Danio rerio: one gene and its partner. The protein of the gene in region 2 interacts with the protein of the main gene of each other region in a biochemical or structural test. Links are inferred from orthologs where the notes say so. Each region holds a gene or a part of one and is shown on either strand. Other genes may lie near its edges.

Region 1 (3,844 bases), on a different chromosome or scaffold from region 2:
TACAATTTGCACAGGTTCACAAATTAAACAATCGAAGATTGTAAAAATGTTGCCTGGTTTGATGAGTCTCGATTTCTGCTGTGACATTCAGATGGTAGGGTCAGAATTTGGCTTCAATAACATGAAAGCATGGATCCATCCTGCCTTGTATCAACGATTCAGGCTGGTGGTGGTGGTGTAATGGTGTGGGAATATTTTCTTTGCACATTTTGGGCTCATTAGTACCAACTGAGCATGGTGTCAACACCACAGCCAACCTGAGTATTGTTGCTGACCATGTCCATCCCTTTATGACCACAACGTACCCATCTTCTGATTGCTACTTCCAGAAGGATAATGCGCCATGTCATAAAGTGTGAATCATCTCAGGCTGGTTTTTTGAACATGACAATGAGTTCACTGTACTCAAATGGCCTCCACAGTCACCAGATCTCAATCCAATAGAGCACCTTTTCAATGTGGTGGAACGGGAGTTTCGCATTATAGATGTGCAGCCGACAAAATCCGCAGCAACTGCGTGATGCTATCAAGTCAATATGAAAAAAAATGTCCGAAGAATATTTCCAGTACATTGTTGAATCTATGTCATGAAGGATTAAGGCAGTTCTGAAGACAAAACGGGGTCCAACTTGGTACTAGTAAAGTGTACCTAATAATGTGGCCGGTGAGTGTATATAAAGTTTGATAGAGCGCTTGGACCCAGAAGTTGTGTAGGACTTAGCAAGCAGATTGGCATTGTTGGGAAAATCCAAATGTTCTTGCTATTCTACAAGCTATTTGTGATTTTGTGTAGATCTGATTGAATAATCAAAATGAAATTGCAAACACAACTGAGCAAAGCTGCGATTGTCATGCACATCTTGTTAATGAAATATGGTTGTGTGATCAGTATAAATCTCATCCAACGGCCAGAGGGGGCTCTCACATGGAAATGCCAAGCACACACAAAGAAGAAACCTAGGAAATCCCCATAGTGTTGTCAAGAGATTTTCATAACCATATGAAGATGGAAATATGTGTATTATTTGCTATTGGAGGGAGAAAGTGTAATGGCTACTATGGATTCCATGAGGAGATGTTATGTACTGTCATCATGGCAAAGACAAAAGAAATCATTCATTCATTCATTTTCTTGTCGGCTTAGTCCCTTTATTAATCCGGGGTCGCCACAGCAGAATGAACCGCCAATTTATCCAGCAAGTTTTTACGCAGATGCCCTTCCAGCCACAACCCATCTCTGGAAAACATCCACACACACATTCACACACACACTCATACACTACGGACAATTTAGCCTACCCAATTCACCTGTACCGCATGTCTTTGGACTGTGGGGGAAACCGGAGCACCCGGTGGAAACCCACGGGAACGCAGGGAGAACATGCAAACTCCACACAGAAACGCCAACTGATCCGAGGCTCGAACCAGCGACCTTCTTGCTGTGAGACGACAGCACTACCTACTACGCCACTGTTTCGCCCAAAAGAAATCAGCTATTAGAAATGAGTTATTAAAACTATTATGTTCAGGAAAGTGTTGAGAAAAACTTCTTTCTGTTAAACAGAAATAGGCAGGGTTCAACGCTAAGGATTTTTTTTACTGGCCCGATTGGGCCAGCGGTACAGATTTTTACTTGCCCTGCCAATATTTTCACTGGCCCCACCAAAAAAAAAGTTAAGTTAATAGCTATTTCTTAGCCACATGTTTTAATATTGTGTCAAAAATGTGTTTGAATCTAGAATTTTTATATTTTTAAACTGTTAAAACATGTATAATGAGCATATCTTCGCATTGTACCCACGTAAATGTTTGCTAACAAGACATTCTTTTAGCCTCATAAATTCATTTCGCTGTACTGGTTTTTACCAGGTTACAAAAAAACAACAAGCTCACAACATCCAATCAGATAGAAGGAACCAAAAAGCAACATGGTGTTTACAACATCACTGAGAAGGCAGCATTTAAAGGCTTAAAAGCACAAACTGTTTCTCGATTCTAAGACTGTATTCAAATGCAAATGACAAATAGTTGCAGAACTTTTGTGACAAGGCACTACGAATCGGGCCAGTAACTATTCTGTCTACTGTCCAGAGCGCCTCGCACGCTGGCCCCGGGCCACCAGGCAGTCCTTATTGTTGAGCCCTGATAGGAGAAAAAAACTCTACAGGGGGCTAATAATTCAGAAGGGCTAATAATTATGACTCCAACTTTGATATTTCAGACAGATTTCATTAGAAACTAGTAACTATGATGAAGTGTTTACCAGATTTTAATGAAGTGTGTGATGAAGTGTTTACCAGATTTTGCAGTTCATTGCTCATCTCCTCTTCAGCTTTGCTCCGATCCATTCTGCCTTTTCTCCTGGCCTCTTGTAGATTCTTCTTATTGTTCTGTTTTAAAGATTACTCACTATTAAAACGAAAATCTAGCTCAAAATAGAAAGCACTAGCTCCCACACCTGACATTTAAAAGTCTGCACAACAAGCTGAGACGCTGCAGAGATCAAGTGGGCAAACTTCGAGAAAACCTGTGGATTATTAACTAGACACCGATAAAAACAGCAAATCAGAAACATGTCATGATGAAATGGTTAATAATAGAATTTTTTAGGGTGCTGGATTGTAAACATTCCCTCACTTTTGTTTCTGGCGTTCCTCTCGGAGGTCCTGAAGAACCTTTGGTATCTGGAACCGCATCCATCAGGGGAAGATTTTACAGATACACAACAGAGAGCTTGAAAAAGAGAGGATGTTAGAAACACGTACTCAGAAAAAAACTTCATTCATTCTTTAGTCCCTTTATTCATCAGGGGCCGCCAAAGCGGAATAAACCGCCAACTATTCCATAATATGTTTTATGCAGCGGATGCCCTTTTAGCTGCAACCCAGTACAGGGAAACATCCATACACTCTCACATTCAGACACATACACTACGGCCAATTTAGTTTATTAAATTCACCTATAGCGCATATCTTTGAAATGTGAGGGAAATCGAAGCACCCAGAGGAAACCCATGCCAACATGGGGCATGAACCAGCAAACTTCTTGCCGTGAGCCATCGTGTCATGAAAAAAAAAAATAACCAATCAAAAGTCACAGTAAGGGAAAGGTTATACAGAATGATAAATAGTTTATTTAAAAAGTAAATTAGAAAATTATTGATTATGAAAATTCTAATTATTAAAATGATCAGAGATGTTAGTAATTTTAATTTGTAAGCAAAATTACAAATAAAAACAACTAAATTACCTATGTTAGTTTCTGTTAATCATACATGTATATTAAGGAATTTCCTTTTTGTTTTATCCTAAAATTAATTTACATATAATTTAAATAAAAACATAAATAATAATAATGTAAAATTGTAAAAACATTTTCAAAAGTATCCATCTGTTCAATATTTGCTCTTCTATCTACATAGGTTAGGTTATCACAGATGATCCGCTAAGTTTTATTGAATAGAAAGAAAAATAAATTATATTTATGACATAAATTTTCTGTGTAAAGTTTATTCCTCCTGGAGCTCAAATATTTGAGCTTTGGCATTAACATCGCAAAGGTTGTGGGTTACTTATATAATTGTTTTTGGGGGTTTTTTTATGTAAATTCAGTGTAAAGCTAAGTCACAATGAATAAAAGTGTTTGCCAGATGCATAAATGTTGTGTCTTTTTTATGAAACACTTTTTGTTCTATGATTAGCTACATAAAACCTCTAGAAATAGGTTCTCAGAAAAAAAGAATAAATAAACTAACTAACAAATAAAAAATTAGGTGAAAGATTACATGGAACGGTTAATACTTTATAAATAGTTTTAAAATCATTTTAAAAGATAATTGATTTTT
Region 2 (4,635 bases):
GGCTTTAGAGCAAAAGACAGCAAAACAAAAATATAGATTTTTAATATGTTATACCTGCAATATAGGCTACCTTTGTTTAAAAATGACACCTTTCATACAGACTGACTTAACACACCGGCGTGAGCCACATTATGCTCCACACTTCTAGGTTTTTCCACACCGGCAAACCGCGTGCACGTGAAGCATCGCATGCGTTCCTCGCCCACACCTCTTCGAGATTCATGCATTTAATGCATGCCATGCAAAGAAGGACAAAACAAAGAAAAAAAAGACGCAATGCAATATTATTTCATTTGAATTAAATGTGTATCGTTAATATAGTGTATCCTTGGAGATAAGTACCGGTTCATGCAAATGCATAAAGAAATCCAGCAGATTCAGGTGCACTTTCTTATCGATGCTATCTCAGTGAAATGACATGCATTTTTTTTCTTTTCCCCCATTAATCTATAAAGAAAATCAGGCCCATTATGTCTCAGTCACACACCCAACAGTCGGATTTACTAACATCCTAAGACTTATACAGTGATTGTAAGTGTAAAAACTGTGCCGATGCTTAAAGGCATAGCTTATTGTATGATTAATGACGAATCGCTGTTAGATGTTGATCTTTAAGATTGTAAACCGGTTTGACTTACCTCTGTAGCACTCTGAGTTATTGTCTGTCCAACTGCAGCAGTCAGCCAGTGAGCAAACCCTGACAGTTCCTTCAGTGTCCTGCGAAGGGAGGATGGCGCTAGAGAGCGAGAGCGAGAATGATGTCAGGATGAAGCAGAACATGTGCGCTACTGAACTGACATTTCACTGATATTATTCACACACAGCTAATGTTTTCGTTGCGGTCAGTATTAGATTAGCAGTATGTTTTCATTTATGGCAGCCACCTACAAAAAAGCAAGTGTTTCAAACCTTTAAACTTTTGAGAATGTTTCTATGAATTTAAAATGACTCCTTGCAAAAATCAAGCATTTTTTTTCACAGTAAAATTTAGAAGACATCTTGGTTGCACCGACTTCACTTTGTATAACCACAAGTTTACTACAATTACTTTGATAAAACTATGGTATGATTTACCAATAGTTAGTTTGGGGTTTTCATGGTCAACTATAGCCTAATCCTAAATGGTTTTGCAACACCAACCATGGTATTTGTAGTAAAACTGTGGATATATACCAATGGAAGATGCACCGAAGGTTATAAAAAATTGTACTATTTAAAAATAATGTAAAAAAAATTATATAAAAAGGGCCTATACTGTGTATGTGAACAGCATCTTCATTGACTACCTCAGCAACCTTAATATATGGAAAAATCCCTTATGTAGGCTGTAAGTTTTTGCTGTTATTATACTGTGCACATTTACACTTGTCAGATTTGGAATGCTGTCCCGGGAGAAAACCCTAAGCTCGAAGATAATTGAGCCCAGGGTTCCCATCTGGTCGATTGAGCATGTAAGGGCAGTACGAGATCAAGTAGTTCTCAAGAGCTCCCCGTGGTAAAGGAAGAAAGGGGGAGATGGGGTGGATGGGGGTTTATTTGGAAAACGAAGATAAGGGACTAATTTTAGCCAGGTTACTTGTAGTGAGTTTGGATTAATCTAATTGGCTTACTAATAATTGTAGATGAGAGACCACATGCTCCTCTCGAAATTATTTTGTGAAACTTCTCTTAATTCAATTCAATTCAGCTTTATTTGTATAGTGCTTTTACAATGTAGCTTGTGTCAAAGCCAATGACTGTAAAAGGTCAAAGCAGCTTCACATAAATGGTCATAGTAACTGGATCAGGGTAGTTCAGTTTTTAGTGTTTAAGTTCAGTTCAGTTCAGTTTAGCTCAGTTAAGTGTGTTTAAATCATTATTGAGAGTCCAAACACTGAAGAGCAAATTCATCGATGAGTAGCTTTTCAGATCCTGAACCATGCAAGCCAGTGATGACAGCGGAGAGGGAAAAAAAACTTTACCAATAGGAGAGTGAAGAAAAAAAACCTTGAGAGAACCAGACTCTGTTCGGCACGACCATTCTAATTTCTCCACTGGCCAAAAGTCTTGTGCAGAGCTGCAGTCTGTAGAGTTAATGAATTAGCTGTCATTTAATCTTTGTGCTCACAAAAAAACAAACCAAATGAGTTTTGGGCTGCTTTCAGACACTCTGGTGTGGTTCAATTAAAATATCAATGCAACACAGACTAGAAACGTCTACTGTAAATCAGGAGTGCCTAAACTCAGTTTAGATTTAAGATATAAGATGGCCATACAAGCATATTTGCTAAACAATCTTACTTTATTAAGATCAAATGCCATCGGCACAATAGTTTTAGCTGGGTGTTCCTGAGTGTCTATTAAAAACAAAAGGAGACAGGATTTGTTTTGTTGCAGCCCCTCGTCTGTGGAATGGTTTGCCTTTGTATTTCAGGTCAAAGTCTTCCCTTGTTGTTTTTTTTAATATCGCTTTAACTTATCTTACATTTGATTGTATTTCATTTTGTTTACATATGCAAGTATAGATTTTGTGTGTTTTTTGATTTGTTAAGCACTTTAATAAACATTTGTTGCTATTAAATGTGCTATATAAAACAAACAAACAAACAAAAACCCATCTCAAATTAAATTTGTATTTAAATTAAGTTTATAGTTGACTAAAAAGTTCTAACATTATTTCTTCAGTAAGTGATAGCATAATGCAAAAAAAATTTATATTTACCCACAGCGTTTGTTTATAAAAAGCGTGCTTTCTATAATCACACAGCATATTTCTTCAGCATAATCTTAAACAAACATTCATAGGATAACACACTCAAGCACAAACACTGCACCATCAGCTTCACCAAATTCATCCATATTCCCTAGAGTTACATACCAAGCCAAGTCTGTCACCTGCACACCTTCACATGAACAGTAAAGTGTCCCTGTGTCCTTTCACCGCAGCACGACCTGGTATTTTCCCCCAAAAGAAAGTCAAATTTCCTAAATGTATTTTCTTCTCCTTATTGTGGATATCTTGTGATATCTCGCATGCAAAACACTGCAGTAGGATTTGTAGAATGTTGAATGATGAAGAGAGATGCTGCTCCTGATGCTCTCAGTGTCCTTGCTGTGTGATATGATCTTCTGCAAGCCAATCGTGTGCTTGGTTGAGGTTGGCTTTGGGTGGGAGTTGCTCAGCAACCTGCCCGCTTGTGAATGAGTAGGCAGTTTTCTTAGATTTTGTTCTGCTGTGTCTGTGAGAGAGAAAGCTAATGGCCTGCTAATGTATGTTGCAGCTGTTTTTTTTTTTATGTTGTAATTTGAAACTTTCCCGTATGTATTTTTTTACACATCAGCCTTTAATGATCTAAATGATGATACTGTTAAATTGGTTCTTACAGGAGAAAAGCTCTGGCTGTTACAAACACGTTTGGCCACTAGGTGGCGTCTCAGACCTGTCACTGTGACTGGTCTCCCTCAGGAAGGAGGTAACAGATTTTTCTGTCAGTAAAGGGACAGTTCACTATGGAGTCATATCAGTCTTAATAATAATACATTTGCATTCATAAATTTAATAAATGCACAGCACAATTTTCAAACTCAAAACACAATTCATAAATCCACAACTCCAATTCATCAATTCAAAAAACAATTCATTAATTTAAAAGTAAAAAGCAAAAATATTTCCCAAATGCGCACACATATGCAGCAACCTACATACATTTTAAATGTTTACACAATTATGTTTATATGAAGTTCTTTGTTAACTTTCTTCATGCATATATGAATTATGTTATATGTTTTTATAAACCATTGAATGTGCATTTGAAAATGCTCACACGAGCATGGAGTCCTTTGAATTTGTGTGCACATTTTTAAGACATTTCTGGTAGGACATGATTCGTACACATCTTTTTTGGAGGATATTCTGTTTAGCCAATCGTGGTGAGTTTTTTTAATCAACCAATCCAAACACTCCTTACTGAACAAACTCAAGAAGCTCCACCATGTAATTATTATTTTATATAAAATGAAATGAATTATTTTAGCAGTGTTATTTGTAGCTGACGCTGATCCGTCAGCTTGTATTTTTTTGGTTGTTGATTGTTTTTGTATTTCATTATTTAAAAGCGTATTTGGTTTATGTTTACTTTATAAATTTCCTTTGTTTCCAGTTGGCTTGAGTCGGAGGTCACATGATCTTTCTTGATTGATGTAAGGTGCAAGAGTTTGTATGGACAGGATAGTGAGATCTCAATGCAGGCACATGTTGGGTGCTACTGCTTATTCTACTGCTGGTTATGAGGCCAACACGGAAAATGAAACCTTGTATGTTATTTGTTTATTTTGATGTCCTTTTGATTGGGTTTGTGTAAAAGATTTGGGTTGTTTGTTTCTTTTTCCTTTAGTTTTCATGGTGTTCAATAAATGAAACGCATCAATATTTGGAAGCATGGACTGTTTTAATAACCGGCGGGTAGCTACATTATTAGACAATTGTCTAAAATTAAATGAGCCGAGTAATGTTATGTATCAGTTGTGTTGAGTACGGTGATCTTATGACATTCGCCAACTGATGAATTCAACACATTTAGTAGCAAATCTAACTGAACGAATCATTGATTCGAATTAATTGGTTAAATAAACGACTCTATTAGTAATACGATCATT

Evidence for each region. The genes of interacting proteins can lie anywhere in the genome.
Region 1: the proteins of maptb (region 2) and hdac6 form a complex in vitro, tested with the Homo sapiens proteins (4 studies listed by BioGRID, with this or other methods). The link is inferred for Danio rerio from reciprocal best matches to the Homo sapiens genes MAPT and HDAC6.

Annotation. Positions count from the first base shown.
Region 1 is NC_133183.1:8,972,526-8,976,369, forward strand, and holds part of hdac6 (protein deacetylase HDAC6), read right to left. Parts: intron 2,734-3,844; 5' UTR 2,701-2,733; coding exon 2,638-2,700; intron 2,391-2,637; coding exon 2,298-2,390; intron 1-2,297.
Region 2 is NC_133178.1:20,949,495-20,954,129, forward strand, and holds the start of maptb (uncharacterized protein maptb), read right to left. Parts: upstream 3,107-4,635; 5' UTR 2,858-3,106; intron 737-2,857; 5' UTR 639-736; intron 1-638. UniProt on the Homo sapiens protein: Promotes microtubule assembly and stability, and might be involved in the establishment and maintenance of neuronal polarity.